Xenopus tropicalis: one gene and its partners. The protein of the gene in region 3 interacts with the protein of the main gene of each other region in a pairwise test. Links are inferred from orthologs where the notes say so. Each region holds a gene or a part of one and is shown on either strand. Other genes may lie near its edges. The genes, in order: htt, fam214b, dnaja3 and tcf19.

Evidence for each region.
Region 1: the proteins of dnaja3 (region 3) and htt interact in binary tests that used the Homo sapiens proteins (3 or more experiments, as listed by UniProt). The link is inferred for Xenopus tropicalis from reciprocal best matches to the Homo sapiens genes DNAJA3 and HTT.
Region 2: the proteins of dnaja3 (region 3) and fam214b interact in binary tests that used the Homo sapiens proteins (3 or more experiments, as listed by UniProt). The link is inferred for Xenopus tropicalis from reciprocal best matches to the Homo sapiens genes DNAJA3 and ATOSB.
Region 4: the proteins of dnaja3 (region 3) and tcf19 interact in a two-hybrid assay, tested with the Homo sapiens proteins (2 studies listed by BioGRID and IntAct). The two-hybrid records come from large-scale screens. The link is inferred for Xenopus tropicalis from reciprocal best matches to the Homo sapiens genes DNAJA3 and TCF19.

The regions. Positions count from the first base shown.
Region 1 is NC_030677.2:22,741,711-22,746,586, forward strand, and holds part of htt (huntingtin), read left to right. Parts: intron 1-2,241; coding exon 2,242-2,325; intron 2,326-2,723; coding exon 2,724-2,844; intron 2,845-3,995; coding exon 3,996-4,055; intron 4,056-4,876.
Region 2 is NC_030677.2:212,898,928-212,904,269, reverse strand, and holds the start of fam214b (protein FAM214B), read left to right. Parts: upstream 1-1,971; 5' UTR 1,972-2,189; intron 2,190-5,342. UniProt on the Homo sapiens protein: Transcription regulator that may syncronize transcriptional and translational programs.
Region 3 is NC_030685.2:20,290,411-20,294,813, reverse strand, and holds part of dnaja3 (dnaJ homolog subfamily A member 3, mitochondrial), read left to right. Parts: intron 1-668; coding exon 669-752; intron 753-968; coding exon 969-1,172; intron 1,173-1,417; coding exon 1,418-1,570; intron 1,571-1,651; coding exon 1,652-1,799; intron 1,800-1,883; coding exon 1,884-1,948; intron 1,949-2,743; coding exon 2,744-2,872; intron 2,873-3,325; coding exon 3,326-3,441; intron 3,442-3,532; coding exon 3,533-3,630; intron 3,631-4,403. UniProt on the Homo sapiens protein: Modulates apoptotic signal transduction or effector structures within the mitochondrial matrix. Affect cytochrome C release from the mitochondria and caspase 3 activation, but not caspase 8 activation.
Region 4 is NC_030684.2:75,141,219-75,146,639, forward strand, and holds the start of tcf19 (transcription factor 19), read right to left. Parts: upstream 3,474-5,421; 5' UTR 2,910-3,473; coding exon 2,627-2,909; intron 978-2,626; coding exon 404-977; intron 1-403. UniProt on the Homo sapiens protein: Potential transcription factor that may play a role in the regulation of genes involved in cell cycle G1/S transition. May bind to regulatory elements of genes, including the promoter of the transcription factor FOXO1.

The DNA of each region.
Region 1 (4,876 bases), on a different chromosome or scaffold from region 3:
TCAGCAACGAGGCACAACCTTATAGAAGAGCCTGTTGCAGCGGCATAAGAGAGGAGCCTCCGGCGATGGTCTGTCACGGGTACTTTATATGGGGGCAATTGGGGGCTACTGTTTATGGGGGCAATTGGGGCACTTTCTATTGGGGGCACTGTGTGTAGGGGCTATTGTCTATGGGGCAATTGGGGGCACTGTTTATGGGGGCAATTGAGGCACTGTGTATGGGGGCACTGTTTATGGGGGCAATTGGGGTACTGTGTATGGGGGTACTGTGTATGGAGGCACTTTCTATTGGGGCCCTGTGTGTGGGGGCTACTGTCTATGGGGCAATTGGGGGCACTGTTTATGGGGGCAACTAGGGCACTGTGTATGGGGGCACTTTCTATTGGGGGCACTGTGTGTGGGGGCTACTGTCTATGGGGCAATTGGGGCACTGTGTATGGGGGCACTTTTGTAATATTTGGGGGGATATTACCCCCCCCCGTGGACGTCCGTACCATGCGTCCTCTTCCCCTTGCAGTGCCAATCGGCACGCACTGACACTGCTGACATTGGCGCGCGCACCTCTAGTCATGCAAAGCACACAGCAGGATGGCAAGTACTTGATAATTAGTATATTATATAGTTCAGAATCTTTTTTTTCTAGATTTTTCTCCTTTAAAATTGGGTGCGTCTTATATTCCGGAGCGTCTTATATGGCGAAAAATACGGTATTTGCACAGAATTAGCAAGCATTCTGTTTAAATTAGACAAAAATTGCTCATTTGTTGCTCAGGTAACAGAGGGTCTATTAAAGTGTGATAAACATAGTGACAGTGAATAAGAAATTACATTTTAAATGCATACTCTTAAGAAATAGGGTTTAAGTTTGCTATTGTTATGCATATATTAATCAAAACACATTGAGATAAGGGATCCACAATATGTAGCACAATGCATTAAGGATACTAAAAACAATTCTTCTCTATTGTCCCCAACATGGATGTACGCAGCTGAGTTACCATGAAGTATAAGGTGCTGTTTTATTATTAAAGAGAGTTAAAGCGCTATGGAAAATGGCCTTCCTATATTTAACAGCTTTGTGTATCAGTATTGATAAATAGGTCTATTTGCTAAAAACTTTTTAGACAATTGGACATTTCATAAAGCAGCAGAAGTTTCACCCATACAGAGTTTGCTGCTAGAGCCTTACCAATCTCTGTAACAGAGCTACTATCTTAGTTGATACATAAGTTGCACTTACCAATCTCTGTAACAGAGCTACTATCGTAGTCGATACATCAGTTGCATTTCTCTTGTGCTTCTGATGCATCAACTAATGTATTCAAATCTTACAGAGCTTATAAGAGAGAGGAAAGGCAAACAAATTTATTATTACATAGTAAAAAATAATTATTTGCGGTATACTATTTAAAATATTGTGAAAGAGTGAGAATAAGTGGCGTAGACTTAATGTCCCATCTGCCATTGTCCTTGTAGTTGAATGCTTAAAGCTACAAATGCACTATGCAAAAGCTTTTTTTCCCCCTTCGCTGCTGGAAATGCTATTATACATGTATTTTTGCCCTGTTTTGTGCTTGACATAGTTATTTCTATGAAATTTAATGGAAATGTCTATTAGCTCGTTATATAATAGAGTTTCTCCCTGCAGGGCACAAATAACTATTAGCTTTTCATGACAGCTTCAGCACTGAGTATAATAAGGCTGAAATATATTAGCTTGCCCAAATACAGCAAGGGCTGCAAGTAAAACCTTACATTCATTCTGTAACTATAATCAGAGCTTTTACTTGGTACAGAAAAAAAATAGAAATCAGGCAGATGGCAGCTTTTTGGCATACAGTAGGGAGGATCCTTCCTGTGTCCCTAAGTAAAACTGGCCCGAAATGGACCAATAGAACCTGCCAATTCAGTCCCTTCATACCGAGTCAGATTATTATCATTCCATTTATGGGGTCTCCCCTCCTGATATATGCCCAACTTTGTGACTGTTCATGCTTTGATAAATAGACACGTCAGGGTAACGCCATATTTGGCTGAGCTTATATGCAGGCTGAGAAACAGCCTCTCCACTCATACTTGAAATCTTCTGTGTCTGCACCGGGAGCCACGGCGTCGGCCTAGGTACAGACACACGGAGCAGATCAGAATGGAATAATTTCTATATATATTATCATAATAACTTGTGATACCTCCTTTTCCTCAAATTAGTCTTACGTTTTCTTATATTTTATTTTCTCTTAGGAAGAAAGATCCTTCAACAAACAAGAAAGATCGTGTCAATCACTGTCTAACAATTTGTGAAAACATTGTTGCACAGTCTTTAAGGTACAGATATAGTCTGCTTTCGCCCCTTGCCTTGCAGCAACAATTGCTTCTATATTTTCCATTCTGTATTCTGTGTCAATGGCTCTGTGCCCTCTGTAAATGGATTTGTCAGCTCCCTCTTCCACATGCATGTTCTGCTGCATCTATAAATATGTATATAAGTATATGGGGAAGTAGGTTTCCCTAATACAATAATAAAATCCATATCTTTAGTGAGCTTTACATTTGACTTATCTGTTCTTTTGCTATGCATGTAGGTGTTTACATCATCTTTTGGTGCTTTATAGAAATCATTTTTATACACAGGCTACATTTTTACTGTCCTTTCTGGTAGTAGGACTGTCTGTGTTAGTCATGTGTTTTGTTTAAAATATTGATGACCTGCACTCTTGCATTAGGAATTCTCCCGAGTTCCAGAAGCTGCTGGGTATTGCCATGGAGCTGTTCCTACTGTGCAGCGATGACGCAGAGTCTGATGTGCGGATGGTTGCTGATGAATGCCTCAATAAAGTGGTGAAGGTATGTATTGGAGATTGCAGACTATATATGGGAATGTATGAATAAAATTGTCTTGAATTTGACCCTTCACAGGTAATCCTTAAAATAAGGGTTACATTTTTTTGGATAAAAACTCCATAGTTAAGGGCTATGCCACTGGCACTCATGGCAATTAAATAATTAAATCTCCTTCAGTTGTTTCCCGATGACTTCAATAAGAAGTATCTCAAGGAGCTTGACTCCCTCTATTAGTGCTCAGAAGCTAGAGTGATAGTGGATGCATTGCAACCTGCAGCTCTTTTCATTCAAACGATTGGCATACACTCTAGAGCAATTAGTGGCAATTTAATAAACACAAGAAGTAGGACAATAAGAATGCAGCATGTTCTTAGTATAGCACTTAGTGTTCCATATTCCAGTTGTAAATATGAAGAATGGGTATGAAACTGAATACTAAAGAGCAAAAGGCTACAAAACATTTTTAAGCATTTGGATGTCCTAGTTGATGTTAATCGGCAAGGACTAGGCCCCAAATGACCTTTTTCAGTTTTCAACTGAAACTTGGGCAAAATTGCAGCAAACATGGGTAAAATTGCAGCAGAGACGTGATTCCAAACACAAGGTCAGAGTTACAATGGAGTGGCTCAAGAACTAAAAGAAAAAGTCCCTGCTTGCAGATCCTGCCTTAGTTGTCAATATTAAAAACAAAAAGTTATCCAACTATAGCTGGGCATACACTTAAAGATATATTCATTTTGCCACCTTACCATATAAGCAGTTCTTTGCTTAATTTGCCCATCTATCTCCAATTGTTTCTCCCTCAGGTCAATGATAAAGTCATAAGAGTGGCCTATCAGACCTGTTGGGAGACTGTTGCAGATCTTATAAAGATCTGACCAAATATCATTCAGGCATGCTGTCGGCCAGGTACCTGCTTATAAACTGGCCATTTATTCTGGAGTGGTTGAGCCAACAGCTTATGTCAGGCAATATATGTCCAACTTAACATGAACAACCTGGAACAAGTAGCCCGTATGAAAAAGAAAGATAGTGATATATATATATATATATGTCATAGGGGCTGTGCTGAGGCCCCTCTCCCAATCTAAACCACCCATGCACCCATATATATGTTTGTGTGTTAAAGAAAAGTATATTTCTTTCTTATCTAGGCTTTAATGGACTCTAATCTCCCGAGGCTGCAGTTAGAACTTTACAAGGAAATTAAAAAGGTGAGTGCATTTGTAGTTCTGTTAGGTTTAACAAGAGCTTGTTTGTCTCTTCTAACCTAGGGACTCTCAGCTTTTTGTTTGACTCAGGGATGTCTATATGAGCTCAGTTGCTGACTCACAAGGCAAGTTCATATTTTATATTGAAGCTAGAGCAGCTTTCCATTAGGATAAGGAGTTTTTTTCAATCAAGTTATAGAAGATGTAGGAATCAAATTAGGCAGAGTTTTAAACTTGAGCCCTCATATAGGTCATGCCTTCTGCCTCTTACCAAAGAATGATTCATACATAGACAATATACTTCATGCCACTAGGATATATTACCTAACTACTAACCCACATATATCATTGTGATACATTCACAAGGCCTAAATGTTAAGCCAGCATAATATGGGGCTACATTCGGGAAGGTGTGTGTGAGATTAAAGGGATATTGAATATCAGAAAATGGATTTTCATTTTAACTTAATTGTAAATTAGTTTAATTGGCTGCTTGGATTGTGAATAGCAAACAAAGTAATGCCTTGACACCTCAACTCTTGCAATTTGTGTGTGGGTGTTGTGTAAAGCTGTGCTATGCATTTTTTATGAGATTCCACAAAGTAGTGTCAAAGTACTTAATGCCCCAACAGCATTGGGCGCTGGGTCTGTCTCTTAAAACAATGTAACGAGTCAGCTATTATCAGTTGGCTTACAACATTGCTTTAGGAGTCAGAGCCAGGAGGGCAGAGAATGTAATAGACAGCCACTTACTTCAATAACAGTTTACAAATGTGTTTATAATAATTAAAAATGTGTATAAATATTTATTGGAAAGTTGCTTA
Region 2 (5,342 bases), on a different chromosome or scaffold from region 3:
GGGACAGTGGAGGGGCAGTAGTCGACAGTGGGGGGCAGTAGTGGGACAGTGGGGAGCAGTAGTGGGACAGTGGGGGGGCAGTAGTGGGACAGTGGGGGGCAGTAGTGGGACCAGTGGGGGGCAGTAGTGGGACAGTGGGGGGGCAGTAGTGGGACAGTGGGGGGGTAGTAGTGGACAAGTGGGGGGGCAGTAAGTCGTTGGCACGGGGGTAGGGAACTGGCGGGTACAGAGGGGGGGGGTACATTCTCTACAAGATATCGGCTGATATTGTTATGCTTTTATCTCCTTTTGCCTTACCCCCCCCCCTATATGGAACGTACCATCATTAGGGGTCGGCTCGCTCCCCCGGGTACTAATTAGCTTTCAGCATCTGGGTGAGTTACCTGCTCGGAGTTAAAGGGGCCGCGCACTCATTAACCCATCGCTCTGTGTGTGTGACAGTGATTGGCCGGGGAGACAAAGGAACAGATGGCAGAAGAGTTGGATCCTGGGGGCCCTTGGGGGGGATGCGCCAGTCACGGGGCCACGGTGCCAGGAACAGGTCTTGTTACTCTGCGGTGTCTGTAGGGTCGGATTTGCCCCTGCACCAACCACCGGGGGCACAAACCTAGGTCTGCACATAGGGGAGGGTAAGTACCTGTGGGTATTAGCGGTGCCACCTGCCCGGGGAATGTTGCTTGTGCCATTAGTGAGGTTGGGCAGTGATGTTGGGGGTCAGGCTCACAGTCGGGGTTCCATCCCACAGGGGGTCAGTTGGGTTGCCCCTCCCCTTGCTGCTATAACTGCCCCTGCCCTTCTGGGAAGGTTCCCACTAGATGGTGGAACAGTGTTGCTGGGAGTTGCTCCCATTCAGCTAGAGGGCTGGCAGGGCAAGGTCATATGTGCCCGGGCTGAAAGGGGAGGGGTTAATAATACAGCTGAGAAGGGGGTGGCAGTTGTATGTATGTATGTATGTATGTATATCTTTATTTATAAAGTGCTACTTATGTACGCAGCGCTGTACAGTAGAATACATTAATACAAACAGGGGGTTAAAGATAATGAATAAATACAAAGTACAACAATAAATACAATAAATACAAGGTACAGTTGCAATAAGAGTCAGAAACACAAGATGGAGGAGGTCCCTGCCCCGTAGAGCTTACAATCTATATGGGAGGGGTAACAAACAGACACAAATGGGCAAATGTAAGTGCTGTAGGTCACAGTGGGTGACATTACAGTATAAGTTGTTAATAAGAGGGGTTAATAGTACAGCTGAGAAGGAGATGGCAGGGGAGGGGTTAATAGTACAGCTGAGAAGGAGATGGCAGGGGGAGGGGGTTAATAGTACAGCTGAGAAGGAGATGGCAGGGGAGGGGTTAATAGTACAGCTGAGAAGGGGTGGCAGGGGAGGGGTTAATAGTACAGCTGAGAAAGGGAGGGTAGCGAGTGGCAGGGGAGGGGTTAATAGTACAGCTGAGAAGGAGATGGCAGGAGAGGGGTTAATAGTACAGCTGAGAAGGAGATGGCAGGGGAGGGGTTAATAATACAGCTGAGAAGGGGGTGGCAGGGGAGGGGTTAATAGTACAGCTGAGAAGGAGATGGCAGGGGAGGGGTTAATAGTACAGCTGAGAAGGAGATGGCAGGGGAGGGGTTAATAATACAGCTGAGAAGGAGATGGCAGGGGAGGGGTTAATAGTACAGCTGAGAAGGAGATGGCAGGGGAGGGGTTAATAATACAGCTGAGAAGGAGATGGCAGGGGAGGGGTTAATAGTACAGCTGAGAAGAGGAAGGGGTTAATGCTTCAAGGTTACATAAGTAGGGGTTTGCAGGGGTTAATGGGGGAGATAAGAGGGGGGGCCGGCAGGGCAGGGGTTAATGAGCGCAAGGTGAGCTGGGAGGAGGAGAGAGCTGAGCTGTGACTTCCCTGCCTACCAATGAGAAAGGAGTTTTTACAGCCAATCAGCGGGCCGACCGTGAGTGAAGGGGGCGGGGTTAGGGAGGGGCCAAGCCCAATCAGCTGGCAGAGTGAGGGCGCAGGGCTCCGGCGCTATTGAGGCAGATTGTGGCCCCGGAGCCGCCGAATCCTCCCGTCACAGACCGACCGCCCCGCCCGCCCGCACCCCGGGATCCAGCCGGCCCTCTGTGCCCTCTCCCCGGAGCCTCCCCCCACCGGGCCTCACACCCCTGCCTGGGAAAGTTTGGGGTAAGTCTGCCCTGGGGGAGGGGTATCAGTGCAACACTGGCTGCCATTGTACTGGGCCACAGGGCTTACACTCTATCTACTGCTGGACACGCCCTCTGGGAGGGGCATCTGCATTCCTCACAGGTCTCTTTAACCCCTTCCCCTTAGTCCTTATGGCAGGGAGCTTGTCCTGAGAGATATGGCTCTGTGGTGCTGGGAGTTGGGGGAGGCCCACCCTAGTGCTGGGAGTTGGGGGAGGCCCACCCTAGTGCTGGGAGTTGGGGGAGGCCCACCCTAGTGCTGGGAGTTGGGGGAGGCCCACCCTAGTGCTGGGAGTTGGGGGAGGCCCACCCTAGTGCTGGGAGTTGGGGGAGGCCACCCTAGTGCTGGGAGTTGGGGGAGGCCCACCCTAGTGCTGGGAGTTGGGGGAGGCCCACCCTAGTGCTGGGAGTTGGGGGAGGCCCACCCTAGTGCTGGGAGTTGGGGGAGGCCCACCCTAGTGCTGGGAGTTGGGGGAGGCCCACCCTAGTGCTGGGAGTTGGGGGAGGCCCACCCTAGTGCTGGGAGTTGGGGGAGGCCCACCCTAGTGCTGGGAGTTGGGGGAGGCCCACCCTAGTGCTGGGAGTTGGGGGAGGCCCACCCTAGTGCTGGGAGTTGGGGGAGGCCCACCCTAGTGCTGGGAGTTGCCCCGGGCCCACCCTAGTGCAGGGAGTTGCCCCGGGCCCACCCTAGTGCAGGGAGTTGCCCCGGGCCCACCCTAGTGCAGGGAGTTGCCCCGGGCCCACCCTAGTGCAGGGAGTTGCCCCGGGCCCACCCTAGTGCAGGGAGTTGCCCCGGGCCCACCCTAGTGCAGGGAGTTGCCCCGGGCCCACCCTAGTGCAGGGAGTTGCCCCGGGCCCACCCTAGTGCAGGGAGTTGCCCCGGGCCCACCCTAGTGCAGGGAGTTGCCCCGGGCACATCTGCCTGTATATTCTGCTTGCATTGTATTTACTGCACTTTGCACTTTCCTGTCCCAAGGAAACACGGCATTCTATCCCACTGGCACAGATCCTATCTGATCCCCCCCCATTGTAAGCAGCAGTCCTGCCCTGCTTTATGGCTGAGATTCTAGCTATCTGTATAACAGAGCATTCTGTCACAGTGGCACAGATCCTATCTGATCCCCCCATTGTAAGCAGCAGTCCTGCCCTGCTTTATGGCTGAGATTCTAGCTATCTGTATAACAGAGCATTCTGTCACAGTGGCACAGATCCTATCCCCCCCCATTGTAAGCAGCAGTCCTGCCCTGCTTTATGGCTGAGATTCTAGCTATCTGTATAACAGAGCATTCTGTCACAGTGGCACAGATCCTATCTGATCCCCCATTGTAAGCAGCAGTCCTGCCCTGCTTTATGGCTGAGATTCTAGCTATCTGTATAACAGAGCATTCTGTCACAGTGGCACAGATCCTATCTGATCCCCCCATTGTAAGCAGTAGTCCTGCCCTGCTTTATGGCTGAGATTCTAGCTATCTGTATAACAGAGCATTCTGTCACAGTGGCACAGATCCTATCTGATCCCCCCATTGTAAGCAGCAGTCCTGCCCTGCTTTATGGCTGAGATTCTAGCTATCTGTATAACAGAGCATTCTGTCACAGTGGCACAGATCCTATCCCCCCCCCCCCCCATTGTAAGCAGCAGTCCTGCCCTGCTTTATGGCTGAGATTCTAGCTATCTGTATAACAGAGCATTCTGTCACAGTGGCACAGATCCTATCTGATCCCCCCATTGTAAGCAGCAGTCCTGCCCTGCTTTATGGCTGAGATTCTAGCTATCTGTATAACAGAGCATTCTGTCACAGTGGCACAGATCCTATCTGATCCCCCCCCCCCATTGTAAGCAGCAGTCCTGCCCTGCTTTATGGCTGAGATTCTAGCTATCTGTATAACAGAGCATTCTGTCACAGTGGCACAGATCCTATCTGATCCCCCCATTGTAAGCAGCAGTCCTGCCCTGCTTTATGGCTGAGATTCTAGCTATCTGTATAACAGAGCATTCTGTCACAGTGGCACAGATCCTATCTGATCCCCCCCATTGTAAGCAGCAGTCCTGCCCTGCTTTATGGCTGAGATTCTAGCTATCTGTATAACAGAGCATTCTGTCACAGTGGCACAGATCCTATCTGATCCCCCCATTGTAAGCAGCAGTCCTGCCCTGCTTTATGGCTGAGATTCTAGCTATCTGTATAACAGAGCATTCTGTCACAGTGGCACAGATCCTATCTGATCCCCCCATTGTAAGCAGCAGCCCTGCCCTGCTTTATGGCTGAGATTCTAGCTATCTGTATAACAGAGCATTCTGTCACAGTGGCACAGATCCTATCTGATCCCCCCATTGTAAGCAGCAGTCCTGCCCTGCTTTATGGCAGAGATTCTATGTGAGTCAGTAGGAGGCACAGACTGGGTGCTTGTGGGAGTGGCTGGGCCTATTTCTGTGCTGCTATAGATAACGACTCCCTACTAGGTGACATGTCAGTGGGTGACACAGTGGGTGACACAGTGGGTGCTACAGAGGGAGGGAATAGCCCTGCGCTGCTGTTCATGACTCGGCAGATACATTTGTTCCTGAGTGAGTCACTGCGGTGCATCTGCTCCCGGTATAAAAGCGGAAATGAGTCGCCAGGCGCCAGACAGTTGTCAGAAATGAATGAGAATCAGTAGATCCAGTTAGGCCTGTGGGTTTCCCAGCAGGCCGTGGGGTAGAGTATAAGCCTTTGGGTTCCCCGGTACCTGGGGCGCAGCTTTCTGTCTGACCCGGGACAGTTTGTTCCCTGCCGTGGGACACAAAGCGCAAACATTGGACAAACAAACAGAACTCACATTTTCCAAAGCTAAGAAATTCCGAAGCCTCCTTTGTTCTCTGGCCGTGAAGTGAACTCCCCGCCCCCTGTAGGGACTACACCTCCCAGCATTCCCAGCGGGCACATTAGGCACAAGTCTGAAAGTGCTGCGGCGATAAAGGTCTCTCTAAATCATTGAATGTATGTAGGTGGGAGCTGCCATGTTTGTTCCCTAAGACAGAGGAAATGGGGGGGGGTGTTCTGGTTACCCAGGGAGTACTGTGCCTGTCCCAGTGGTACAGCAGGGGAGGTTCTGGTTACCCAGGGAGTACTGTGCCTGTCCCAGTGGTACAGCA
Region 3 (4,403 bases):
TCCATTTGAAGCAAGAGAGAGGTAGAAGAGAAAGACAAAAAAAAAATAAAGACCAATTAAAAAGATGCTAATACACCGTTCTGTAACATACCCCTTTAAAAATGACTAAATGCTGCTGCTGAGGCTTCTTAATTTTATTTACAGAGCTGACAAGGTTCTTATTCATTTATTTTACTTTGTGTAACTGGGGGTCTGTTGCATCATCATTTATGGCAATGGCCAATGGGGAGATTCTAAGGGGTGTATTTATTAACATTGGAAACAAACATTACCGGTGATGTTTCCCATAGCAACCAATCAGCAATTAGATTAGTATGGTCATCTACAAGTTGGAAAACAAAAGCAAAGATCAAATTGGATGCTATGAGCAACATTACCTGTGATGCTTGTCTCCAGTGTTAATAAATACACCCCCAAGTGTTTTGTCTTTGCTCTGCTGGAAGGGGGTAACACATTCAGACTTTCCCCCTTGTTTTCTTTCAGTAGCAGTCACTTTGCTGCATGAGTGCACCCACAGGTTCTGCCACACATTATAGTGACCATCACCTGACTAACTAGTGCGCCCACATTGTCAGGCAACTGCTTCTGATATAATCAGTTTGGAATTCTTCTTCCTTTTACCTTGTCACAAAGTTTTTGCATTTAACTGCTGCTGTTTTCCTTTCCAGCTGGCCAAAAAGTACCATCCAGACACTAACAAGGAGGATCCGCAAGCCAAAGAAAAGTTCTCTCAGCTGGCAGAAGCATACGAGGTAACAGTTCTAAAGGGCACAGGGGCATATTCTCTGCCAAAGAGTTTTTTTTAAGCTGCTGGAAAGGCGCCCAAACTTGGCCTTTCAGTTTATCATTTACTTTGACAACCAGGGACAGTGCATTTAAACTCCTACTTGGCAAAATCCAGATTTTGAATTAAATGACATTCCTAAGAACTGTCGCTGGCGCAATCTGATGTCCGTTTTCCTGCTTAGGTTTTGAGCGACGAGGTTAAACGCAAGCAGTATGACACTTATGGAACTGCAGACTTTGCTGCTGGGGCAGCAGGGGGAGGAGGACAACAATACTGGAGAGGAGGTCCTACTGTTGATCCAGAGGAACTGTTCCGAAAGATCTTTGGGGAGTTTTCTGGCTCCCCATTCGGAGACTTGGGTAGCATGTTTGAGCAGCCGCAAGAGGTAAGAGAGTAAAAGCCCAGACTGGCAATCTGTGGGTTCTGGCAAATGCCAGAGGGGCTGCTGTAAGATGCCATAGACAGTCACTATTTATTGGGCTGGTGGGGGGCTGTTTGGGTCTTTGTGTTCTTGAAATGCCAGGGCCTATTTTGCATCCCCATCCAGTCCTGAGAGAGTAGCAAGAAGCAATGGTCATATTTTGGATAAGTGGCGTTGCTTTACCAGGCGATAAAACTTCTCTCTTTCAGTACATCATGGATCTCACGTTCATTCAGGCGGCTAAGGGAGTGAATAAGCAGATCTCTGTAAACATTACGGACACGTGCCAGAGGTGTGATGGGAAAGGAAATGAGCCCGGCACCAAACTGCAGCACTGCCATTACTGCAATGGAACTGGCATGGTAAGAACGACATTGACATAGGCACCTGTGTCACGCTGATTTTGGTCAGGCAAGATATGACCGTTTGTTTGTTTAATCAAGGAAACTATCAACACTGGCCCCTTTGTGATGCGCTCAACATGCCGGCGCTGCGGTGGGAAGGGAGCTACGATGACCAACCCTTGCCTGTCATGCAGAGGCTCTGGCCAAACAAAGCAGAAGAAAACTGTTACAGTGCCTGTGCCTGCTGGTAAGTTTCTTGCAGGTAAATAGATATATAAATTGTGATCCATTTTGGAATGTACAATGGAGTCTCATTTTTGATTCCTGACAGGTGTGGAAGACGGGCAGACAGTTCGGATGCCGGTGGGAAAGAAAGAGATTTTTATTACATTTCGGGTAGGTGCTTTCTCCTGGGTCCTAAATGCTTTCAGTTCTAAGTGGGGTTGCCTTTCCCTAACTTGCCTGTGCTGTCCACAGATTTTGACAACTGTTTTCTTATAATATGATTTGAGAATTAAGAAGTAATGAGTTACAGGAGTATTGTGTTACTACCCATCCCTGCACAGCAGAGGGCAGTAATGCTTATCCTTGGCAATGTGCTTTAGTTACACAGCAGCCTGCTTGTCTTGCATCAGACATGTTATGTTTTCTCCTTCAGTAGTAAATTCGCCTACTTTTGTCAAGTAGATTTGCTGCTAAAAATTTACTTTATTATTTCTGCTGGAGGCTTCGGTCATGTTAAAGGGGTGGTTCACCTTCAACTTATAGAATGGCTTATTAGCAACTTTCCAACTGGTCTTCGTTTTCTGTCTGTTATAGTTTTGAAATTGTTTACCTTCTTCTGACTCTTTCCAGCCAAAATTAATATTGCTCTGTAAGGCTACAGTTGTACTTTTTATCACTTATCTTTACATTTAGGCCCTCCTCTATTCATATACCTGTCTCTTTTTCAAGCCACTGCCCAGTTGCTAGGTTAAATTGGACCCTAGCAACCAGATAGCTGCTGAACAAAAAGCTAAATAATTCAAAAACCACAACAAATAAAAAATGAAGACCAATTGCAAATTGTCTTAAAATAGCACTCTCTGTGTTGTGATAAAAGTTAAAGGTTTCAGTCCTAGAAATTTTTTTTACATCCTGTTCAGTCTCAGGTACTGGAGGACTGGCATTAAAACCCCTGGTCTGTTACAGGTGCAGAAAAGTCCAATCTTTAGAAGGGATGGGGCAGATATTCACTCGGACCTGTATATTTCCATTGCTCAAGCTGTTCTGGGGGGTTCGGCTCGTGCACAAGGACTTTATGATCCCATCAATGTCCCTGTAAGTATAACTGTCTTATTATTTGTTATGCATGGTCAGAATAGCAGGAACTATGAACGCACCAAACCCAGGCTTTGGCCCAATCCCAACACTTCAGGGCATGTTTATTAACTCTTGAGGTTTGGCAGATATGATGCCAGAAAATGGGAGTGAGTTCTTTTCATCTTCAAGATGGATATTTTTTGCAATATTTGCTGCGCTACTCTTTGTTTTAAGCTTGAATACAGGGTCACTGGGAAGTTAGCCTTTTACCATAGAAGGACTTTCAAAAAATAGTTAATGGGGGTAAAGCAATATTTTTTTTAAGATTTCACCATATTATTCCCCCCCCAATATATAGGATTTTGGTCAAATTAAAAAATGATGCATGTGGTCAATACCTAGTATTTATTTAATCTTTAAAAAAGTCATGTAGTTCAACCCCTAAAACCGGTCTCTTGCTACTCTTCCCAGGTCCCTGCCGGCACACAAGCAGACCAGAGGATTCGGATCAGTGGGAAAGGTATCCCTCGTATGAACAGTTATGGCTTTGGAGATCACTATATCCACATCAAGGTCAGAGTACCCAGGTGAGAGATCTTATGAGAGAACATTATGGAATGCCAAGCTGGGTAAAATAAATGCAGCCTAACTAATTGGCAAATTTCCCCTTTTGTGCAGGCATTTGACTGACAGGCAACGGATGCTAATGCTTAGCTTTGCAGAAGATGAGACAGATGTAGAAGGAACAGTAAATGGCATCACTAACACAACAACAGGTGAGTGATCCTTACAGGTTACCCCAGCTACAGGAAAGGTGTGGGGCTTACTTACTAAGGGCAGTGACACATGAGGAGATTAGCCACCCCGCAAATATCCTCTAGCGGTTGCAACCAATCTCCTCTGAATGCTTTTCTGCCAGTGGAAAAACGTGTCGCTTCAGCTTTCCGAAGTTGCCTTCAGAAAGCCAAAGTGTCTCATATTTTTTCCCACCAGCGATTTACATTATCGCCAGTAGGAAAGCTTTCAGAGGAGATTATTCTCCACCACTAGAGGAGAATTTTCATGGGGTGACTTATCTGCTCATGTGTCTTTTCCCTAACTGTCATTTTCCCTTAGTGCAGCAATGCATAGCAACCAATCTGCAATAAACTTTAAACACTCTACTGGAAGTCAGAAAATTAATGCAGTTGTGCGATTGGTTGATATGGGTTAATGCACTGGGGTAAAATTGCCCAGTGTTACAAAATAAGCCCCAGTGTTTTATAGGATCCATACAATGACAAAAAACTGTTTTTGGATTCAGACTGGGTTATTCGCTTATTTGGCCCTTGGGCTTTCAGACAAGTCACACCTGGGAGGGGGAGTCTCTACATAGCAGGCTGATTGGAATTTTGGCATAGACTATTTCCTTCATGTTGTCTGTAGACATTATACAAGTACCCTCAGCTCAGGCATGACTTAGATCTTCTCTGAGGGAGTAATGCAGGCCAGGGGGTGGTTTTTGCCTTCTGGTTACCACATATTTGTGCTGTCTCCCATATAGCTGTGT
Region 4 (5,421 bases), on a different chromosome or scaffold from region 3:
GAATATGAATATTTTTAAAATCATGTCACCTGATCAATTTCTAGGACAGTATAATTGGATCATAACATTTACAATTCATAAGGTTACCATTAACTTTATGATAATTAAAAGATTATCAGATGGTCCTGAAATTGGTAATGTTTTGGTGTAAAAGAATACCATCTATGGCAACCTTAACATGTTTAAAGATGACAGACAAGCCCTTTTACTGATGCAGCTCAACCAATACCATGGAAAGCATGGAAGTTATTCCATAAGGTACATACTGCAGGGTGCAAGAGTAATAACATATGGGATAATGGTAGCTAGAATCCGACAATTTTGAACAGTTAGAGAAATTACTTAAAACAAGCCAGTTTCCTTGGTGAAATCACAATTTTATGTTGATAACAATTCTTAATACCTTCCAGTCTGCTCATGATTAACCATTTTCCTCTCTTCTTTCCTTCTTCCTCTTTTCCTCTTCTTCATTTCTCCTACTTCTACCTGTCCATCTTCTTCATCCTCTTCTAGTTCACAAAGTACTTGATGCTGTGCTTTTCTTCGGCTGTGTCTCCTTTCAACTCCAGTCCGAGAGGGTAAAGGAAGATCAGGCGTGGATGGTTTGGTCAGTTCCACTGCTCCTCCCATGAGCCCAATGCCCTGCATCCTTTCACGCTTCATTTTACTAATGCTGCCAATGGAGTTCAGAATAACAGTGGCTCCAGTAGTATAGTGAGGTGACCCGCCTCGCCCTCCACTAAGTCTCTGTGTGGCTAAAACTGGGGTAAAACCAGGAAAAGAGGATCGAGCACGTGGGGAAGTGATAGCGGAAAAGTCCAATGGACGCACTCTAACACGCTGGAAAAGGAAGTACGTGTCAGGGGAAGATGACTGACATGGCGAAACATCTGATTTTTCTTGGAAGCGGAGGAGGTCACCATCTGAAAGTTCCATTCTCTGTCCTTGCAAAAGATGAACATCATTTATGTATATACCTGTTTGAGGACACAAAGGGAATGTACCTTAATAAAAGCATTGCAGTAATGGCAGAAGAGTAAGAAAAGTGATTGTTTGCGGTTGAATTGCTGGATCTCCAGTAAGAAACTAGTTTCTATACTGTACCTGGATAATCAATTCAACATTCTAATGATGAAGATATGGATATTAAGTGGAAATCTGTATTCCAGTAGGCATACAGCAACAAAAATATCAATCCCTACCACTGTCAGATGCAAGCATATACTTCTGCAGAATGCATATGTACCTTAAATGAAGTAACTTCAGTTAGCTCTATCTCCATTGCTAACTTCATGACTACGGTCCCTCAAAACACACACACATCATTCAGTCTGCCCACTGTAAAACACAACTATAACAACTTGCAGCATCTCACCAACCATTCTATAGCTGTCCCTTACCTACACTGACATTTCCTCATGTTATTAATCACATGCCCACACTGTTTCATTTTATGGCAGTCCATATAGCCATGACATTGCCTTTCCTTGTTTTCCCTCAAACTTTAGCCAAGCACATCACCCATTATTTAATATACCATACATTGTAAAAAGTGTTCTTTTGTGGCAGTGAGGATGGAACAGGGCTCTTTCTGCTCTAGAGATCCAGCACCTCTCTTAAAGTGCCCGTACACCTTCAGATCCGCTCGCTTGGCGATGTTGCCAAGCGAGCAGATCTTCTCCCGATATCCCCCACCTACGGGGGGGCAATATCGGGAGAATCCAGGCTAACTCGATCGTTTGGCCCTGGGGCCAAACGATTGAATTATAACGGCAAGTATAGGCAAAGTCAGTCCGGGGACCGCATCAACGAGCCAATGCGGTCCCCAATCAGACTAGATTTTTTAACCTGCCCAATCGATATCTGGCGATTTCAGGCCAGATATCAGTTGGGCAGGCCCGTCGGTAGTGCCCATACACGGGCCGATTAGCTGCCGAATCGGTCTAAGGGACCGATATCGGCAGCTAGAATCGGCCTGTGTATGGGGACCTTAAGCTTTGAATACAGGCCCACTACTGCCACAAAAAGGGGAATCATTTTCTTAAGAAGCTGTCTGTTTAGGGCAGTGTCTAAAGCTGGCCACACACGTGACGATTTTCGATATTTCATGTGACCTTTGGTCGCATGAAAGATCCTTCCAACCCTCCACTGACGTTCAGGGCTAAATCGTCAGATATGGAGGTAGAAACAATAGGATTTCTACCTCCTTCTGCCGATTCAGCCATGAAGGTTTTGCCTTCAATGGCGCCCAATCAGCGAGTCGACCAATATCTGCAGCCTTCTGCCATATTGGTCACCTTGCCGAGTTGCCATACATGCACCAAGGTTCCGTGCGATATTATCGGTGCGTGTATGGCCAGCTTTACAGTTATGGCAGGGGAAATAAAAGCTTTGAGAATGAGAGCACTCTGTGGGCTTGTGAGCAGCGCTGTATGTTTCACAGGGTTACCAACACAGCTAAGTAGGGTGTGTGAGCATTGGCTTGGGATAACAAACATAAAGGGCGATAGGTGGAGTACAATGAGCCCAAAACAAAGAGAGCCTGGGCATACCTAAGAAATAGTTGTTCACCAGATAAGAGTGATGAAATCTCTACATATCCTGAACTATTTGGCTACAAACTTACCAAAGTGAGTGCAGCTTTCCAAGTTAACCTTCCAGTCTCCTGAGAGCTCCCGCTCTGCATGTATTTTTGCATGGACAGCAGGTTTTCCAGGGAGGGGGACATCACATAAATCATGCTGGGCTCCCAGTCGGTAGATGCAGCATGGCGAGTCTGGCAGGAAAGTATACAAATCTCTGGACGCTGTGCTATTTGCATTTATGCTTGACTGTCCTGGGCTTGAGCCCATGCGCAAAAGCTGGAAACAGGGCTGTACCTGTGTAAGCACAACTTCTGACCCTACCATGGCAGCCTGCCAATTTTCTGACCAACCCACCTTTTTCCCACTACCTTAATGGAGTCCCTTACCCACAATGAAATACTGTCCCTGCTAGTCTAAATATATAGATTTTATTTATAAGTTTAGGTGGAGCTCTTTGTCGCAGTGCAGCACACTAATACTTAATAGCAGCCCTAAACCTCGCACAGAAGAACCATCTCACCTAATTCTATCAGCAACACAATGCCCTTGTACAGAACAGAAACTAGACCGACTAAGGCTGCCTAACCTAACACTGCAGACCTCAATATAGTTTGCATCCCACACTATTACAGTAGATGTACTCTTCATGCACAAATCTCCCCCTAGCAATTACTTCCCATGGGAGTCGCAATATAGCGGGGGAGACTGAGTGCGTGACGTCACGGTTCCCACCGAGCCGCCGCTACCAGCTGAGCCCAACTCTGACCGGGACCACGGCGGGAAATCAGAGGAAGGAAGCGCGCCTTTGAAATTTGGCGCGTTATCGCCCATAGGTTGACACCCACCTCCTTGTAACCACGCCTACAAACGAACTGTCTGGCAAAAAAACACTGTACCTAGCCGACAACAGTTTTACTCACTTTATACTGATTGGTTAAGAGCTCTCCGCGCCTGTTTTTTTTTACCAGCCAAACTCTCGCGAAAGAGACTTCGTGTCTTCTATGATTGGCGGCTTAGTTTCCTCTGTGCTTATGATTGGATAGCAGCTACGCAAATATATCTTGCTTAACTTTATTGGAAACAAACAAATACGAACAGTGAGTGGGTAAAAGAAGGTTGCCAGGAGGAAGGATTTGTTGTAGTTCTGTTTGGAATGGTGTTAGTTATACGGCTGCAGTAGGATAGGGGATTGGTTCCCGGGCTTAAAGCCGCGAAATTTGTTGATCGCAGAAGGGAAAGCGTACAGAGGAATGTATTATAGTTCCATCACAGTCATGGGTCGGGTTGTTATTACCATGCTATCCATAGATGTATGCTCTTGAGTGGCGAGATTGTTATTAAGATCTGTTGGGAAATAGAGACTTCAAGCCTATATTCACTCAGTAGTAGCAGGTAAGCAAAACACAAATGTTTGCCAGTGACGCCAAGATTTTTTACATGAACTTATGTTTTAGAGTGGAAAATTCTGAGAAAATATGCAGGTCTTTTTATTTGTAAGTTTTGTATTTAGCAGCTGTCCAGTTTGAAATGTCGGCAGCAATATGGTTACTAGGCACCTGTTTACACTAGCCACCAGCAGTTGATTGAATGAGAGAGTGCAATATAAAAGAAAAGTACCTGAATAGAAGTGAAATCATTTAAAATAGGGCACACTAAGCCCCGCAACCAAAACTCTGTATTAAAGCTGAAAAGCGGCAGAAGAGAATTGTACATAATCCAAAAAATTGAAAGACTGGTTAAAAAGTTTCTAAGGATAGGCCATCCTATAACATAATACAGGTATGGGACCGGTTATTCAGTATGCTCAGGACCTGGGGTTTTCCGGATAAGGGATCTTTCTGTAATTTGGATCTCCATAACTTAAATCTGCTAAAAATAATTTAAGCATTGAATAAACCCAATAGGCTTGTTTTGCCTCCAATAAGGCTTAATTTTATCTTAGTTGGGATCAAGTACAAGGTACTATTTTCATTACTGAGAAAAAGAAAATAATTTTTTAGAATTATTTGCTTTTAATAGAGTCTATTGGAGATGGGCTTGCTGTAATTCAGAACTTTCTGGGTAAAAGGTTTCTGGATACGGGATCCCATACCTGTAATAGGTAAATTAAAGGAGAAGAAAAGCTAAAAATCACTGGGAGTGCCACGCATACGCAGCAGAGTGAAAAAGCTGGATTTTTTGTTAGTTCAGCTTTTTACTCTACTGCTTGTGCGCAAGCAGCAAGAAAAGAACGAGAATGGCTGGCTCACAGCTACCCCGGGCTGGTATGCTTTTCTCCTAACAGGAGCACCAGCCTGGGATAAAAAGTAAGCCATTACAGTCACTGGTGGGTGCCCCCTGGCACTCCCAGTGATTTTCCCTTTCTTCTGCTTTAAGCAACAAAATGATAAAAACACAAATTTAACAATTTTTAAATATATAAAGGTGACCTTTAAGGACAAGGAAAGCTAATTTCACCTAGGGTGCACCTCCCAGTGAATTCAGTCACCTATGGGTGTAGTTATTAACATTTGATACAGATGTCATCAGTGCATCAATGTCATCCGGTTGCTATGGGCAATATCACTGGTGATCAGGGTTGGACTGGTGGGTGCAGTGCCCACTGGGGCTCCTGCAGGTGCCCCAGCCAGTCGCGTCCCCTAACCCCCCTGCAGGGCCCCCACCTGACATCCTCCCTGAGCATGTATAAATTGAACGCGTCAGGGGAGGTACAGTCAGTAGGGGGAGCGCCGGATTTTTCCTGGTGTCCCAGTCCCAGTCCGACCCTGCTGGTAATGTTTGTCTCTGATGTTAATAAATACTCCCCGAGCCTGCACTCCTATGAAGGAAAAAAAAA